2 linked regions of the Drosophila melanogaster genome follow. The gene in region 1 interacts genetically with each later gene. Each region holds a gene or a part of one and is shown in the gene's direction. Other genes may lie near its edges.

The links. A genetic interaction does not mean that the proteins touch.
Region 2: of mei-218 (region 1) and hdm, changing one suppresses a phenotype caused by changing the other (phenotypic suppression), as found in Drosophila melanogaster (one study listed by BioGRID).

Annotation. Positions count from the first base shown.
Region 1 is NC_004354.4:17,137,984-17,149,356, reverse strand, and holds the start of mei-218 (meiotic 218), read left to right. Parts: upstream 1-6,366; 5' UTR 6,367-6,493; coding exon of another isoform or gene 6,494-6,555; 5' UTR 6,556-6,649; coding exon of another isoform or gene 6,650-7,090; 5' UTR 7,091-7,595; coding exon of another isoform or gene 7,596-7,663; intron 7,664-7,762; exon of another isoform or gene 7,763-7,875; coding exon of another isoform or gene 7,876-8,031; intron 8,032-8,153; coding exon of another isoform or gene 8,154-8,244; coding exon 8,245-8,378; intron 8,379-8,441; coding exon 8,442-9,981; intron 9,982-10,045; coding exon 10,046-11,373. Other genes in the region: Chchd2 (Coiled-coil-helix-coiled-coil-helix domain containing 2), read right to left, coding at 174-220; RpS5a (ribosomal protein S5a), read left to right, coding at 2,158-2,559, 4,225-4,341, 4,641-4,739, 5,586-5,654; mei-217 (meiotic 217), read left to right, coding at 6,494-6,555, 6,650-7,090, 7,596-7,663, 7,876-8,031, 8,154-8,266.
Region 2 is NC_004354.4:7,914,237-7,921,722, reverse strand, and holds hdm (hold'em), read left to right. Parts: upstream 1-1,591; coding exon 1,592-2,507; intron 2,508-2,558; coding exon 2,559-2,715; intron 2,716-2,818; coding exon 2,819-3,206; downstream 3,207-7,486. Other genes in the region: YKT6 v-SNARE, read right to left, coding at 359-833, 923-1,047; snz (snazarus), read right to left, coding at 4,400-4,768, 4,829-5,512, 5,578-5,715, 5,777-5,956, 6,026-6,763, 6,825-7,231, 7,288-7,460. UniProt on the Drosophila melanogaster protein: Single-stranded DNA-binding protein required for meiosis. May be involved in the resolution of recombination intermediates into crossovers in the meiotic recombination pathway.

The DNA of each region.
Region 1 (11,373 bases):
GTTACGTAACCTTAACCCATTTCGGGGGCCGGAAAAAGCGGCGGAAGTGAAATTCTGTCCATGAGATAAAGCCAGATCATCCGATTGATTGGTCGGTGATTACGAAATGAATTTCCTGCCGGCGCTTTATCCAATTTCCCCCGAATTTTCTTTGTTTTTCGCGACTGTCTTACCGACGAGTGGAGGGCGGGGGACTGGCTGAACGTCCACGGCGAACCATTTTGTTTGTTTTATTTGTTTTTCTATTGATTCGGTTTCACGCAAGAATTTTATTCTCAACAGTTGTTGCTGTTTTGATGACGAGCTAGTAACTGAAATTCCGAAATAATCCCAATTGGACGAGAAACTTCGGCCTGCTGCCAGTGTGGCCGGAGAAAATACCGAAAAATACTAAGGCATAAGGTGTAAACTATCGGATATAGAATGTGCCAGAAAAGTTAATAATATGGGTAAATTCTTATGATTAAAAATATATTTTACTAAAGTATTTGGATATTGTATTCGTGTAAAAACGTTTTACCACCCTTAAATTTACTATGTAATATAGTAAAATTTTTGTGTATTTTATATATCCCATATATATAATCTTTACATACCACATATTTTTTTCCACTTACAAAATCAAATAAAGAACTATATGTTATAAATATATATGCATTACGATTTAAATAACTTTTTATTTTACAGTCAGTGAAATAATAACATTTAATACTCAAGCATATCAAAATTTCTATAAGGTGACCGTAATAAAGAAAATTTGGCATGCGAATTTCAACTATCGCCACCCGTTGTGACTGGCAAAACCGCGAAATGCCGCATATCGATAGAAAGTTCGAAATTTGTCATTAAAAAAGTGGCTTAAAACTAATAGTATGCCTGAAAGCAGGGTATATTTCTATGAAGTACATATAAATGTGCAACTCAAGTAGCAAACGCGTTCGAAAAAGTGATTAAGTCGAGGAATAATCCCCACTCATGGCCGCCTATCTCCGTTCGATAGTTCACTTGTTGCGCAGCCCTGGCAGCCGGAATGCAACCGTGTGCGTGTCGGCGGAAGCGGACTCTCTGGCGTTGCTGCACACTGCCGTAACATGTTCTTTTTCAGGCGTTTGCCTTTGCGCTGACATCGTATCTCGATTTCTTCTGTGACAAAGTAAGGGATTTTCAACGTTTAATTGTGTGGATTGTGGCCAGAGGATGGCCAAAAGACGGCTAAACGCTGGCAACTAGTGTGGATACTAAGGGTTTTGTGAATTTACTGCGGCAAACTGCGGAATATTGCCATTTCCACCGAAATGAGGTTAAAAACGGGCGGCTTTTTGTTTGTGTGTGTGCGCGCGAGTGCAACTGTGTGTGTGCGTCACACGTGTTTGTTTCCCCTTTTTTTTTGTATATTTTTTTTATCTGCTTGCAGCGCAAGAATATGTTTAATACAATATACATCCACGTATATTGAGCCAATTATCCAAAAGGATAACCTTCAAGAAAGTATAAACCCTTAAAAACTCGCAATTCAACAACAACAACGCGCGTGTGTTTTTTACGGTGCTTATGCGTGTGTGTGTGTGCGTATAGCGCCCATCTACAGTTTAAAAAAAACGTGTTAACGCAGGAAAACTACTTAAATATGTATTTAAAAGTTATTGTGACCCTTTTTGTATACTTAAACGTAATCTTCACTGAAACTTCCGTCTTTCATAAACCTTGGAACTTTTTTTGTAGTTTATTTTTGTTTTAAGACGTTTTTAAGATTTAAAAACGAATGTTAAGGCTCTAAAAATTATTCGTATCAGTTTATCACAGCCTTTTCTTGGGTTTTGTATTTGTAAAAGAATTTTTCAAACGAAATCTAGTTAAAGTTATAAACAATTTGTATGTGTATAAAATTTGTACAAAAGGGACGATGTTTCCATAAACAAATACTGAAAAACACGTTTCTGTAAAACTTCTAGGTGATGTTCAAGCCATACAATGATGTTCAATAATAGAAGTTAGCTTATTAAAATCAACGAACAAATACCATTAACCAACCATTAATGAATGTCTGTGATAGTAATAGATCGCAAAGCCCTCAAGTATCCCATCCCACAGTAGAATTACCAATACCGATTTGCAGACACGTGACTAACTTATTTGCCTTCCAAAAACTATTGCAGCATGGCCGAAGTTGCTGAAAACGTGGTGGAGACCTTCGAGGAGCCAGCGGCACCTATGGAAGCCGAGGTGGCCGAGACGATCCTGGAGACAAATGTGGTGTCCACCACTGAGCTGCCGGAGATCAAGCTGTTCGGCCGCTGGTCTTGCGACGATGTCACCGTTAACGACATCTCTCTGCAGGATTACATCTCGGTGAAGGAGAAGTTTGCCCGCTATCTTCCCCATTCCGCCGGACGTTATGCCGCCAAGCGTTTCCGCAAGGCCCAGTGCCCCATTGTGGAGCGTTTGACCTGCTCCCTGATGATGAAGGGTCGCAACAACGGCAAGAAGCTGATGGCCTGCCGCATCGTCAAGCACTCGTTCGAGATCATTCATCTGCTCACCGGGGAGAACCCTCTGCAGGTAAACATGCCCATCCCGTCCAAATGTTCCCAATTCCACCGCGTCCCATGCTAAACTGTGGCCAGAGAACGTTGCCACTCGGTCATGGGTAGAATGGGCACGCAGAGCGAACACAAGGTTTTAATGTCCTAGTGCTTGAAGATATCAAAGCCTCTTCTTGTTCTCCGGGAACTTAAAACCACATTACAAAACCATTATAAAGCATATGCGGTACCTTGGTTTAAACTGATTTAAAGGGAATCTTCACTGATTTCTAGTCCTCCTCAATGCTGGCTATGTTCTACATACTTTCCGAAGCATAACTCTCAAAGGGACTAATAGTGAACCAAAGATTTAATTATCCTAGTGCTAGAATAGAAAGCAAATTCTGGTTCTCCTGGAACTTAAAGCTACAATAGTATTATAGAGGAGTCCTCCTCAATGCCAGTTGATGGTAATTTTCAGCCGAACTGAGCATAACTCTTAATGGACTCATAGGAAAAGGTATTAACTATCCTTGTGCTTGAAGATAAAACCACTTCCCGCTCTCCTGGAACTTAATTCGACATTTAAGACAATAGCATATTAGTGGATCTTTCACAATGAGTCTACCTCAATGCTAGTTGAAGGAAATTCCATCCCAGCTAAGGCATATATTAAATAGACTCAGAGGAATAAGTGTTAATTATCCTAGTGCTTGAAGATTAAGCCACTTCCCGCTCTCCTGGAATTTAAGACTACATTAGAAAGAAAGCATTCATTACAGAGATCAGTGTCCGTCCAAAACTAAAACTGCAGCGTTGATCTCTGCAGCGTTGTGGCATTCAATTGGACCACAGGAAATCCCATGGTTAGCTATTCCTCTTAAGGGCATGGCCTCAAAAATGCAATCTTAATAAAGCATAAATCAACAAAATCCTATTCTCAGAAACCGCGTGTCAGTCCACCTCAATGCCAGATGGCTTAAAAATACGATGCCATACTGAGCATAACCAAAAATGGACTAATATCAATTGAAATTGTTTTAACTATCCTTGTGCTTGAAGATATAAGCCACTTCCTGCTCTCCTGGAAATTAAAACAACACTAAAGTTAAGCATTATTCACCAAGGGTATCATTATCCGTCCAAAACTAAAACTGCAGCGTTGATCCTTACAGGGTTGTGGTATTCAACTGGACCATAATAAACCCCATGATTAGCTATTCCTCTTAAGGGCATGGCCTCAAAAATGCAACCTTAATAAAGCATAAATCAACAAAAACCTATTCTCAGAAACCGCGTGTCAGTCCACCTCAATGCCAGATGGCTTAAAAATACGATGCCATACTGAGCATAACCAAAAATGGACTAATATCAATTGAAATTGTTTTAACTATCCTTGTGCCTGAAGATATAAGCCACTTCCTGCTCTCCTGGAAATTAAAACAACACTAAAGTTAAGCATTATTCACCAAGGGTATCATTATCCGTCCAAAACTAAAACTGCAGCGTTGATCCCTACAGCGTTGTGGTATTCAATTGGACCACAATAAACCCCATGATTAGCTATTCCTCTTAAGGGCATGGCCTCAAAAATGCAACCTTAATAAAGCAATAAATCAACAGCAAAAATTCTACTTTGGTGCTTCGAGTGGATCAAGTGATAGCTTACTCATTTCGATTTTTTTTTGTGACCTCTTTGCAGATCCTGGTCAGCGCCATCATCAACTCGGGACCCCGTGAGGACTCCACCCGTATTGGACGTGCCGGTACCGTCCGTCGCCAGGCCGTCGATGTGTCGCCCCTGCGTCGCGTCAACCAGGTGGGTTTCTTCTGAAGATTTGCCTTCCAGATGCATGTGCTCACGGTGGCCGGTAGCAATGGCTTGTGGTTCGTTTAGAGACTGCTTGCTTATAACACTTGGCCAGAACGAAAATCTATCTAATATCCGTAGCGTCATAATGTGTAGTATAGCCGACATTTGGCGTATGAAACGAAGAGACATTATCAATTGCATAACACACTTTCATTTTACTAACGATAAGAACCCCAAATTCTTACGCTGCTGTGATTGCGTTCATAAAGTTACTTAATTAATTTTTTTCCGTATATTTCCTTTAGGCTATCTGGCTGCTGTGCACTGGAGCTCGTGAGGCTGCCTTCAGGAACATCAAGACCATCGCCGAGTGCCTGGCTGATGAGCTGATCAACGCTGCTAAGGTGGGTAAATTGGGCTTGTGGCGAGATCAAAGTGGGAATGGGGTGGTCTACTCTAATGCTTGGCATTGTACTACCAAAATGCCTGGCCTCGCTTGTAGACCAGATCGAGAACCACGTTCGGCACTCGGATTAACCCAAGAATTGAGCTTCGAAATAGCTCTTTTCTTCCTTCTAGTGACACAGCTAGTCATTTCAACTAGTCCAATCTAATTCTGCATCATGGTTTATTTATGTAGTCTCGCTTTTGGACCAGATCAAACTCCAAATCTCTTATTATCCTTGTGCTAGTGACCACTTAACTGTCCTATGCACACGAGAAACGTAAAAGAACACTTTTATGAATTAGCATTTAGGAACTGATTCGATTAGGATAGCGGGGGTCCAATCTAATTCTGCATAGTGGTTTAATTATGTAGTCTCGCTTTTGGACCAGAACAATCACCATCCTTTATTATCCTTGTGCTTGTGACAATATCAGTCTAATGCACACGAGAAACGTAAAAGAACATTAGCAAACTATTTAAGAGTTGGTATATAGAGCTTAATAATAGGTCCAATCTAATTCTGCATGGTGGTTTAATTATGTAGTCTCGCTTTTGGACCAGATTAATTTCCATCCTTTATTATCCTTGTGCTTGTAATATTGCTTAGTTCAATGCACATGAGAAACGTAAAGGAACACTAGCTTTAAATAAGTTAGGGACTTGTTTTTTTATATTTATTTATTTAGAAGCGATGAATCCATACAATGCAGTAACAGTAACATAACAGCGCAATTAACATATAAAAGATCTAGAAAAACATTGATAGCCAATACTAATAACTTGTGTTTAAATGTATTTCCAGGGATCTTCCAACTCGTACGCCATCAAGAAGAAGGATGAGTTGGAGCGTGTCGCCAAGTCCAACCGTTAAGGAGACATCATCACCAGCAAAAACAAACTTCTGTCTGTTTTTTTTTATACAAATAACGTGTGTACACTGAGAAATGATACACTAAAACTAAAATAAACAACAAGATGAAAAATTCACTTCAGACCATTCTTTTTTTATAGTTTTTAGTTTATAATAAACTTGGTTGTCAGAGAAGAACGGATATTTTAGCTATTTTCTATCGGGCTGCTGGTGTCAGAAATATGTGAGGTTAAGCGTGAGTAAAACGTGAAATTGTCTTGCTTGGAATAGCTAAAAATATTGAAATGAAATTTAGCTAAAAAATTAAAGTAAATTACATGGTTTAAACAAATTGAAACTTTAAAAAGTTTTTTTTATCGATATTGATACAATTTCTTTCATAGATATTTCTCTAACTACTCACGATAGATCACTAAAATACGGTTTTTTTAGTGTATAAAATCTATAGATAGTTGCGATACTCCATCGATCTGGCATCACTTTTCTAAAATAAATGTATTGGAAAGCTGGCAACAGTTTACAATACTCCGATTGTTTTAAGCCCTTAAATTCTACATTTATATATTCTATTCTTCGCTTTTGAAGAACTCTATGCCAAAGCAACAAAAGATCCATTTATTGTAGGAGGCTAGTCATTAGTCATTTAACGACATTTAAAATCTAAGTCACACATTACCCGATCGAAAAACTTCAGTATCGATTTAAATCAGGGCTCGATAGGTACACTTCATATCGCAATCGGTTTTAATTCCAATTTTTCCTTAGTCAAACACTTCATTTTAAAATTCTTTGGTAGTAGGTCGGATTGAAATAAGTTCACATTTCTGGATTAGTGTATAATGTTCACAGTGGATGCAAGCGAAGGATCATCAGTTGTAAACGAGACTCCATTAAAAAGCCAGTAAGTGCACGGTAATCCTGGTTAAAAAACAGGGCGCATTTATTTTCGCAGGCTCCTAAAGACATAAAACACGAAATGCTAATATACAATACAGATTCCACGATCAGAAGTTGGTTGAGCACTTTTGCCGGCAGACGCAGCTGCTCAAGCTGGTCCAGGTCTCCTCTGGCCGCTTTGTGGCGAACTATATGAGCTCCCGGCGGCCAGAGGACCTGCTGGCCCCCATCCAGCTGCGCCTGGACTTCGAATACCGGCAACTACTCGATATCTCACCGCAACTACTGCAGCTCATCGTCGAGGAACCGCTGCAGTTTCAAGAAGCGGTCCGCTACTCGGTTTATGGCTTGATCCGCTCACATCTCAAGGACGCTGGCCTGAAGCCCATCGATATCAACCAGCTGCACGCCCACTGGCGCCTGGTGGGACTGCCCTTTACGCCGGGCCTGCAGTTCGAGCCGCGGGACCAGTTGACCCGGCTGGGCTTGTCCCAGATCCGGGGCATCCTAGCCGCTTTCACGCCGCAAGAAACACTGGTGTCAGTTTTACAGTTTGTACATGTCCTGGCAGAGAATTGCAATGTTCCCCTAGTTTGCTTTGGTGTGCTTTTTCCACATTTTTCTTATTCGATTTGGTTATGTTTGGGTACTATGTATCCTGTCATGCCTGATTAATTATAGTTATAGTTCTTAACTAACCAAGCTAGCCAAGCTGGTTTACCCTTTTTGGTTTAGTTCAAGAGGGTTTTAAGCTTAGTCTCTTAAGTGTAAATACCAACCTACAAAAGAAGTATATCTATATCCCATTAACTTTCTATGAATGTTCATTGTTGTTAAAGTTAAAAAAGCATGGATCGTATTATCGTTATTTTTTATTTAAGTGGGTTAATGGTATTTATTATTTGTCTATTGCATGTATTATTTTCTTATGCTTTAGGCAATATCTGTTTCTAAACATATTAATTATAAAACACACAGCTGCTCTGCTAGGGTGTACCAATCTTTGATAATATGTGTAATTTATATCCTGATATTCCATTGTAGCCTACAATCGATCTGGTACTGCGGCAGTGGCTGTATGCGAAATGCCATACAGACCAGCTCAACAGATGGTAGGTCCCATAGGCTAGGAACATAAAGAAACAACGTGCACTTTATCCAAATTGTGGCACAGCCAACAACCTCTAACTAACAACCTCTAACCTCTAGCCATACTCACAACCCTCGGAACCCTGTCTAACAAAATGTTATCTAACCCAGCATTCCTTGTTCACGAGATCCTGTGCCAGCTCCATTGCTAATCCATCTTCTTGATATCTTTCAGCACCCTTTTGTTCGAGCTGCTCGCGGCCCATGAGTGAATACCAAAAGCTGCGCGTCACGGAAACCTATCGTATCTTGGCTGTCTTGCCTATTTCGGCAGTTCAGACACCTCGTGTCACCAATTGCCTTCATCGCCCAAAATTAGTTCGCCTTAGAGGTAAGTGAATCTGGTATTCAGGACATCATAAACACGTGAAATTAAATATGCCTGGTAAACTAGGACATACTCATTTGGATGTCACTATCATGAATAATCATAATATTAACAACATTTCTTAGCCCACGCCCACGACTGCGAATTAAAGTTGGGTGCTAGCTACCTAATCACTGGATACTTTGCGAGCTCAGCCAGCACATATCAACTGGAAGCATGTCATCTACGAATAAACTAGAGAAAAAGGACCCTCGTAGGCACATTCCCCTCCAGCTTAATGTTTTCTTGCGCAACGATGACGATGGTGAAGTTCGTGAAGTTACTCAAAATGCCAACACAAGCTCCATAGGGTAGAATATTCTATTTACACCATTATAATAAGCAAATATATTAATGTATCCCCCAATGCCCAGCACCATACCATCGAATGGCCTGGTCGAAAGCGATGTGACGCCTATTATGACTCCCACACCGAAGGCCGGTGTCTACAAACCAAATGTTAACGTCTGGCGCTTATCTAAAGAAGTCACTAAGCCTGATCGTAGCTTTGTTGTGAGTGCCGAAGAGTATCCTGATTTGGGCCAGCGCCCGAAGAGATTCAAACAACGAACGCCGCGGGTGCGTAATCAAGATGACGGCGGCACTGTTTCGTGCCTTGCCAGTCGTTTTAGTCGCGTAAAAGATCCGCCTGTGCTGGGTAACTTTTTGCCGGATTTCATGCTTCCGAAATCGAGCAACAGCAATCATCAATCGGTGACCACTTGGCTGTCGTCAGTACGTCCTAGCGACAGCCAAAAGTCTTTAAGCGACCAGGCACGTTGCTCTTCTTCGACCAATATAACACTGCTGAGTAAAGATTCAGTACAGCCGCTGACGCCAAAAAGTTCTGCCCAGTCCTCTCCGGGTGAGAAGAATATCCAACAGGAGCAGAATACTCCAGCTAAATCCCAACAGGAGGAGACAAGTCCGGCTAATTCTGTCGAGCATCAGCAGAAAACACCTAACTCTCCAAAGGAGCAGCAGAAGAGTTCTGTCGGTTTTACTAACATGCAGCAGATGGCTTCCGCCAATTCTTTACAGCAGCAAAACAGTTCTGCCAGTTCCTTACAGCAGCAGAATAGTTCGGTCCATTCCTTACAGAAGCGGAAGAGTTGGGTCAATTCTTCACAGCAGCAGAGGAGTTCGGTCAATTTCATACAGAAGCAAAGGAGTTGGGTCAATTCCTCGCATCATCAGAAGAGTTCTGCCAGTTCTTTACAGCAGAAGAGTTCTGAAAATTCTCCCAGCAAATTCCAACAGCAGCAACAGAAGAGTCCTGCCAATAATGAAAGGAGCCAAAACAATCAGAAGTCTCCTGGCATTCAGCACTCTTGGAAACAACAACAGCAGCAGAAGCCAAAGATTCTTCAGAATTGTCCGAAAACTTCTGTTCAGCAGCAGATGAACCCTGTTAATCATACTCAGTCGCAATCAGAGAGACCTACCGAGCTCATTTACTTGCACTCAAGGAGCCCTGCGAAGAGAGCTTCAGTTACAAACAATTCTTCGGCACCAATCCGCATTGCGCCCAGACAGCAGACCACTCAATCTTCGGGTCCCAGTGTTGTCCACAATGAGGACGAGGATGTTATGCCGCCGACGCCTAATCAAAGTGAGAGAAGGCAGAGGAGATTCCCACGTCGCAATCACAACCCCCGGATGGTGCGCAGTCTGCAGGCGGTAAGTCGAGAGTTTACAGAGTCCTTGCTTGAGGGATCTTCAGGGAAAACGCCGGAAAAAGAGGTGGTGCCGTACCAGCAACAGGAGAAACCGCGCCAGGTGAAAAGCTCACCAGAAATCCATGCGAGCAGCCACATGCGAAAATTGGCTATGGGCAGCGTTTTGAACTCAAATGCTAAGGAGTTCCACCCTACCGGAGAATCCCATCTAACCCACAAAGTGTCTAGATTGAGCGTAAGTTACTGCACCGTAAGTTTAATCCTCATTAGATAACCCTTTCTATATTGGACAATTACAGCAAAGACGCTGTCGACAGCGTTTTACGCGCTCTTTGCACGCGAAAAAAAATAACCCACGCGAGCAACTACCAAATCCTGACAGCGCCCCAGAACCAATACTCGAATACACCTCTGAGATAGATGATCAGCCATGTCCACCACGACAGACAGTCGACACACCGATCGAAGCCATTGTACCACCGGCAATGATCGAGGTGAGTGCCACCGGCAATCTGCCGCCCGTGTTCTATTTTGATCAGCAGTCGGGAATTATATGGAGCAACTCGTCACCACAAATTCCGGTTGAAATCCAAAGCAACAGTGTCAGCCAGTCGGTTTTTCGGCTAGCCAGTCTCCCGTGTACAGGGGTTGGCACCACCAATATGGATATATTTACCAGTTCGCCACCCCCCATCCAGCATATGAGCTCCAGCCGCCTCCCATCCAGCATTTCCGGGCCCACCCAGTTATCGCATACTCTCAGTTCGCCGCCGGTGGAGAACCAGCACCAGCAACACTTGTGGGAATCATGCATCCACCAGGACGAGGACCTAATGTACAGCAGGCCTCTGTTGGATATGGATCAGGAGGAAACCCAGCCGGAGCAACAGGACCAGGAATGGCAGTGGGAGTCGGAGATAGAGCCCCCGAGTTTCCAGTCGGAGAACCAGGTCGTCGCCGACGAACACGGCGAGGAAAACGCGTACCTCGCTAAGGACGCAGGACCACCACTCGAGCGTCATATGATATTTCGAGCCCCATCACAGCACGGCCAAGAATATCCCAAGCCGGATCTAAACTGCGTGCCGTCCAGCATCAAGAAACTACATCACTTGATCTCATCGCAGTATTCTGACTACTCCTTTGTCTACGCCCTAAGTGCTCAGATCAGTCAGGACTGTGTGCCTATGGATTGCTTTGTGTACCTGAAGATGATACTGCTGGCCAGTATCGTTTCAATCGAATCTGATGAGGTGCGGGCTCCAATTTCGCTATGCATAATCGCCACCGACAGCCTGATGGCCAACCGTCTACTTAACAAAGTGGGCCAACTGGCACCACGTTTCCTGGGACCCCACGAATACGGACTGCAGCCCACTTTCAATGCCCTGCCCACGCGCTTTAATTGGATAGTGGCCAGTCCTTTACTATTGGCACAACAGGGAGTTTACTACGCCGGCGATTGGAATCGTCTGTCCAAGGATCAGGGATGCCAGCTGGAAAAGTGCATCGAAAATGGAGCGGTCCCAGTTCCGCAGTTGCACATCGATCAGCCCTTAAAGGCAGCCGTTTGGACTTACTGGCAGCCGAACAACTCCACCAATCAAACACTGGCCCTCGCCAAACT
Region 2 (7,486 bases), 9.2 Mb from region 1:
GTAATCTGTATTGGTAGTAATTAACATTTAGATATCCAAAGCGTAGACATATACAGACAGGTAGACATTGGGTTAGCGGACTATCGTAACTGGCAACTGGCCATCCTATTCATACAGTATATAATATAATATATATATATAGTATATAAAATTAACTAATTCATTTATAAAAAGCAATCATCAAAGCCCAAGTCGCACCGCTCCCTTGGAGTTTGTTTGGTTGTAGTTTGTTGGTGTTATCGTGTTATCCATTATCCTTTGTGTTGTCTTTGATTTGCATTTTCTGGTGTTTCCTGTTGTGGTTGTTGCTTGAGAGGATTAGCGTGTGGTGGGGGGTGATGAGAGGTGCAGCTGTCGTCTAGGTGAAGCTGCAGCAGGAGTTAGTCTTTTTCGCCGTCTTGTAGAACGCCTTGCTCTGCAGCGACAATTTCTCCGACTTGCTGACCATGTCGTCCAGCTTCTCGCCCCGCTCCAGCACCGCCTCGATGGTATTCTTCAGTATGATCTTCGTTTCGTCCAGGTCGTTTTGCATTTTCGTCAGCGGATCTGCTTCGACGGGATTTTGATAGCGTGCTAGAAACGCTGGCAGCAAGTCAAATGAGATAGTGGCCTCCGTGCCATTGGGCCACTGATCGGCCGACACCTTGGCCGTAAAGTCATCCAGAATCTTTGTGATAAGCGTGTGCGCCACGCGATGCGGATACTCATGATCGGCGATCAGTACACCGGCCAGATTGTCCGCCCGCACATAGACATGACACATGTAGGCATCCTGTTTCACCGATTGCCGCAGGGCCGGCTGTGTGCGCTCCACAATCGTCTTCGAAGCGAAACTGCAAGAGGAGGAGTTGTTTAGGGGGGTGTTCGTCATTGATGACTCTTTGAGCCTGCGCCGTTCTTTGGCATCCACATGCATACTCACGTCATGAACTCGTTGACGGTGCCACGTTGGAAAAAGGAGAAGGACTGCAGGTCCGAGGCGGTCTTCAGGAGACGCGCCTCGCTGGCGCCCTTGTGAAAGATGCTCAACGCGAATAGTTTGACCATTTTGAGTGGCTGTGGGCTGCCAAGACTGGGTCTGCGGGTCGCGGGTTGCTCGACTGTTGCTCCTCCAATTAAATGCTTCTGGGGCACTGAGCTGAACGGTTGTCCTGGCTAATCCTACTATGCTCCGGCGGATGGGTTTCACTTTCAGCGCACTGGCATTCGTGGAAAAGTGCGACAAGTGAGTTTGTTTAACGCAGTAAATCTGTGCCGTTCCCCTCTGTGTGTGCGTGTGTGTGTGCGCGGGTGCACATATGCGTAGTGTGTGTCAGCTTATTAGGGATGGTACGTCTGGTATTCGGATGCCATCCGATTATTATCGATTCCAATGGTTACAATTAATAAGCGCAACTTTCTGTAAATGTTTTAATTGTGGTTTTTATCAAACTAAGTTGTTAGCAATACTTTCTGTTACTAACTGAATCTACGGCCATTTGTGGTGTACCATCACTACAAACATCGATAACTACTAATCGGCGGTAACGGCAATGTAACGGTTTTCTTAAGCACTGCAATCTGACTGGTCGCGATTTCTTAAATAATTTCAATGGCAAGGCGTATTAAGTTCCAGCGGTTGGCAGAGATGCGTCCCACAATGACCCGTTTCTCCACCGTTGCCCTGATTGTCTCCAAATCCTCGCCGAACATCTTCTATGACAAGATGAGTGGCACCGAACGAGGGGTTCTCAGCTTGACCATCCGAGATTCCCCCAATCACCTGACCAATTGCAAGTGCTGGGGCCAGCGGGACTGTGTGGATGAGTACGCGGCCATGCTGCAGATCGGCCATGTGGTAGACATTGTGGGCGCTAAAGTGATGTCCATACCGTTTGCTGCTCCGGGAGAACAGCGTTATCAGCCCCAAGCGACGGTCTCCTGCGCCCTGGTGGTCAACGAGGGATCCGGCTATGTGGTGCGCCACGACAATGACGACTTTGGCCAAATAACAATTCTCCAGCAGTTACTCCATCAGCCCATAAGGCCACTTGGTGCGGTCCTTAAGCTGGCGGATGTGCGTTCCGGCTTGGGATTTCCCGATAAGATAATCACCACCAATGTGAATCTACTGGTAGTAGTGGCTGCAGTGCGTCCAGTGCGTCAGATAAAGCGAAAGCTGCAGGGGCCACTAAGTGAGGTCCAGGAGCTGCTACAGTGCTTGGAAGTAATCGTGATCGATGCCAGCTATCCGGAAGGTATGCTGCTCTCCGTTTGGCAACCCGACTGGATACAACGTGCCCAGCAATGGCAGCCACGTCGCACTGTCCTTCATTTGATCGACGTGCGTGTTTCCTACTCGAACTTTCATCGTTCTCTCGTCCTCTCCCATTCCAATTGCACACTTATTTGCGAAAATCCTCAGGCGGCTGGAGATGATTGCCGTCTCTTGCTAGCTTTCGCCGCCACTGTGCCTCTAACAACTTTTAGTGGCTGTGACCAGGCAGAGCTGGACAACATGCCTGCAGGTGAGTAAAGGATAATTAATGCAGTATTATTATTTACTATAACTCTTTCAGTTGCCAGCATTCAGGCGCAGATGACGGTAAGACAGATATATTCACGCGCCGAGGGCGAACTGCAGGATCCGTCCATACATCAGTTTACTGCAGTGCTGTATGGGATGGTCACCAAGTTCGACTTGGATGGATTGACCTCCCACGTCAACAGGAAGTGGTGGGTGTTGTACATCCCCATCCCTTCCTAACCGCCGAAACGCTTCCCACTATCCGTTACATAGTTTACAAGACATATTCTTAAAAGCCCTTTTATTTTACAGCATTGCCTGTCAACAACATATACCACGGAACCTGCAAGATTGCGCCTCGGACGCCTGCCAGCAGTATTTTTCATTGGACAATGATGAACCACGATCCATTAGCTACTTCAATATCAACATTCATTTGTCCGACCAGACCGGCACTCTCGTCGAAGCCCGGTTAGCTGGACATCCGGCAGAACGTATCCTGGGACTTCGGGCTGAAGACTTCGAGCGACTGGCGGAGCGCGAGAAAAGCGAGCTAAAGTGGCGCTTTCTGCTGAAATACTTCGAGGTAAGATTGATGATCAAAAAGCCGGTGGGAGTGCGCAATCATCTCGTCATTGTGGTCGTCGACATGCAAGCCATTCCCCTGGAAAAGCTTGTCGCAAATATGGTCGTTTTCTAAGTGTATGTGGGGTGGTCCCATCAAAATACTGGTGAACCATCTACATAAATAGCGATCTTTATTTCGCATTTTCACATAAAAGTGTACAACTGCAATACATAAATAGATTGAAAGCGCCTCGAAACTCTTAATGTGGGTCCTAAGTGGGATACGTTTGGCTCATTGGGGATGAATCATCTAAGTGTCATTTTGCCTAGTGTTACAGAAGGTGCCGGTGTCTTTGGGTCGTGGTGGTGGTGGGTGGGTGTCTACGGGGCGTTTCAGGTCCACAAAACTGATTTTGGGTCAATTCTAAATGTTGTAATTTCGAGTTGTGTGTTTTAACATGGTATCAAAATGCATTTGGATAACCACAAATGCTTAAGGATTAATGCTTCTTTAAAGTCCTGACTTGCGACTGTTTTATTGTGTTATCAAACGTTCTGTTTTTTAAGACAGCCTCAATCAACGCTTAGTCTTTAAGATTATTTGATACCATTACCAATTTTGGTCAATTAGGAAATTTCAAATACAATTTTTAATTGATGGTTATCGATGTGCAACAATTGAATCATTTTAATACAAATTCGAAAAAGAATACAATGTGTGTCAATACGGAAGTTGCTTTATGGCCATGGAACGCACTGTTCTGGACGCCCATTAGCTTGCCTCAAACTAATCTCACCTGTTGTGTTTCTATAATATTTTTGGGGGGAGGATGGATCTACAGCTGGCGCGGCATGGGAATCACAAGCACCGACTCAACGCCAGCTGCAGACGCAACTTTGGGCTCAATATCTGCTACTAAACTATAATTAAAATCAATCCAAACTGAGTGTCACAATTTACTATACGAGTATATAAACAACGATTTGGTACAACGCTTAATACTGACCTATGTACAGACATATACACATAACAAACAAATCTGGCTACAGGAAGTGATGGACGAACGAATCAACAAGAACTGAATTCATATGGATTGTAAGTCTGCATTTGTACAGGGAATGATACTGGTACTACTGAGTTGTGTTGTGTTCTACATAACTATTCTTTGTAATCCCTTTCCTCGGCTAAATCAACAATATCCACCGGTTAGAAAGAGGGAGAGCATTAAACATTGAACATAAAATCAAACAAAACATAACATAAATAAAAAAAAGGGTTTAGGTTAAAGTAAAATCTAAAACGAAGTGGTTCTTCTTAAGTTCACTTCACTTCGAACTGCCCGCTTGCGAATGGTGGTGCTGCTGCTGCTGGTGGTGGTGGGATCCGTGGTGGTAATGCGATTGGTGGTGCGAGGCGGCACCACCACCGGTGGCGCCACTCGCGCCAGCTGAGGATCCGCTGGCCGACGAGGATCCCTGATGGTTTTGGTGACCCCCCGTGGATGCACTGTGACCCCCACCACTATGATTAAGCGAGGGCAGCGAAGCTGATGCCGTGGCAGCCACCAGTGCCGCAGCGGCGGATGCAGCTGCCGCTCCAGCAGTAGCCGTATTTAACTTGGTTCCATTGGAGTTGCTGACGCGCAATTGTCGGATTTCAGGAAAGAACTCAATCATAAGTATCTCCAGCAGCTCCTGAAGATTAGAGATACCAATTGTATATTTGGCTATATGACCACTGAAACCACTACTCACGTAGAATAGCTGCTTGTTGTAGGCGGGATTCTGCAGGGCATCGAAAACCTTAAGGACACCCCGTTTGGCAGCCTGTGCACCGACCAGGTTGCACAGTACCTCCGGTATGTGATCGGTGAGCAGGGCCTTGGCCGCCGTGGTGGTCATTTCGCGCATATCCTCCGATCGCGTCGGATAGGCGGAGGCAAGAACTCCGCCTGGCCAAAATGACTTGAGGATGGCCGAAAAGTAGTTGTGCAGCATAGACTCCTCAAAGAGATAGGCCACCGATTCGCGGATCTGTCGATTGATCGTACGGCCGTATGTGATCTGCACAAACGAGATGAGACTCTTACGCAACCACTTGAAAACTCCGCCCATGTCAAAGATTTCGCCCATTAGAGCGTACATCGGTTCTGCTATCGAATCCTTGCTATCCAGATCCGCTGCTAGCATTTTAGCCTCACCGCCGGACTCGCCGTCTAAATAGGTAGATATATCCTCGTCATCGCGCTGCAGACCCCAAAACGGATCGGTTGCCTTGCTGGCCTCGTGAGCTTTGCCAGCATCGCTGCGGAATAGCGTAGATAGCGAGAATTTGGACTTCTTTGGCGAGGGCAGCGATTGTTTCAGGTGGTCGGAACTTGGGCTAAGAAACGTGTAGATGGCCTCGCTGCCATTCAAATGATCGTCCTCCAGGATAAACTAAGTGGCCAAAAAGTATGGAATCACAAACTTATCTATGGTGTAAAAGAAAAAATTAAACTTACATTCAAGAACTTCTGAATCTGTGACTTGGCCTTTTCCTGACCATGACGATCTGTTTTCAGAAAAAAGAACTTAAAGTTCGTAGGCAGGTCGATGGCCTTCAGGTTAGAGCTCACGTGTCTCAGCTTCCGTTGTAGTTCCTTCACAAATAACCAAAATGTTAGTGAGAGTGATCTATAGAATCTTAAAGGGAATACACACATGGACTTGATTAAGGGAGCGCATTACTACCCAACCACTGGAAATGCCCGACGGTCGCTTACGTAGATTGGCATGGCCGCTGTCACCGTTTTTGGATGAAGTCGGTTGTACTGGGGCATTAATATCCTCGTCCACATGAACCAAGATCATAAACTGCAAGGACTCTTTCTCATCGGAGACCTAAAAGATGCAAAAAAAAAAAAAAAATTGAAGATGGCTGATAAAATCACTCAGGGATGGAGCACTGACCTCTACACTTTGGATGGTAGCCTTCCACTTGCCCAGATGCTCTGTCCAGGCGTCCGTGCGACGCAAATGCGCCTCTGTCTGTCGCTTCTCGCTCTTCAGCCACTCCATCTCCTTTTCGAGAATGGTCAGCACCTTGGACTCCGGCTTCACGGAATATTTGAGGGCGTCCAGCGCCTGATTCTTTTTATCAATCCGTTCCTGTATTTGTTCCAATTTTCGTCGTGCATAGGATGTGTGGGCGGCCACATCGATGGCACCACCAGCTCCGCCATTTAGTCCATCCGCCGCGCCCGGTTGCTCATCCGCCAGCGGCTCCTGTACATCGCCAATGGTGTGACACATTAGCAGCGTGGGATCTGCAATCTCATTGGAGTCCAATGCCTCCTTCAACTGACGATATTGATCGCTGAGCACAAATGGCGGATAGTACTTTTCCTCCAGCGTGCGTAGTACATTGCGCTGGATGTCATAGAAGATGTCAGGCTCGGCATCTCCCAGCAGGAACGTCTCGATCAGTTTGCGTTCGTGCTTGTCAATCTGGATCTCTGACTTGGGCACTCTGATGTAGGTGTAAAAGATCTCCGTGCCCAGCTGATGGCTGGCCGACTTGTGCGCGTGCTTGATCTCCTCCACGGCCAGGTAGAAACCAATCAGAGCGCTAGCCTTCAGCGGCTCCAGGAACAGGGTGAAGTAGCGCCGGCCAACCGCAGTGTTTAGGATCTCGACCAGTGTTAGGTCCTGCAAATAATAATTGAGTTTATCAGTGTTGTGGATATGGGGAATGCTAAAGTTTAATTACAATATCACTCGAGTAATTGCCATTCCAGCCGAACTTGGCCAGATTCTTCTCGCACTCGCCCTTGGCCATTGTGAGTTGGCGTACGTAGCGCTTCAGTCGGACGGCGGCTGTGAGCTCCGACTTGGAGAGCGAGTGGTCCTCGTGATCCGGATCGAGGCCTTTGGCACGCTGTAGATTCTGCATGGTAGTAGCATGCATCAGATCGTTTACTATGCTCTTGCGGATGAGCGAGAGCTCCTCGAGGTTGCCCGAGTTGTTGATGATTTTGAGGAAATCCTCGAAGCTGGCTGCATACTCGTAGCTTCTCTTGCTCATGGCCGCCGCTGCCAAGCGAGTTTCAATGTTTTGGACCACCTTCTGGTTGATGTAGTCCGGTGCTGTCAGCATTTTGATCATCGGAAAGAAAACTGCGGACAGGATACTAAGTAAAACGTGTCGTTTATTAAGCGGCAATGGTTCTTACTCTTGTAGGAGAGAATCTCGCTGAGCAAGACCTTCAATGGGGGCAGGGAATAACCGCGTGGCAGCAGCAGGATCACCATAATCTCGCAAAGCTTGCGCAGGAACTCCATCTCCTTCTCCTCGTCGGCGAGGTACGAGTTTGTACTAAAAACTGGCGGCGTGTTGGTTTCAGCTCTAAAAAGAGGAATACATATATTTAT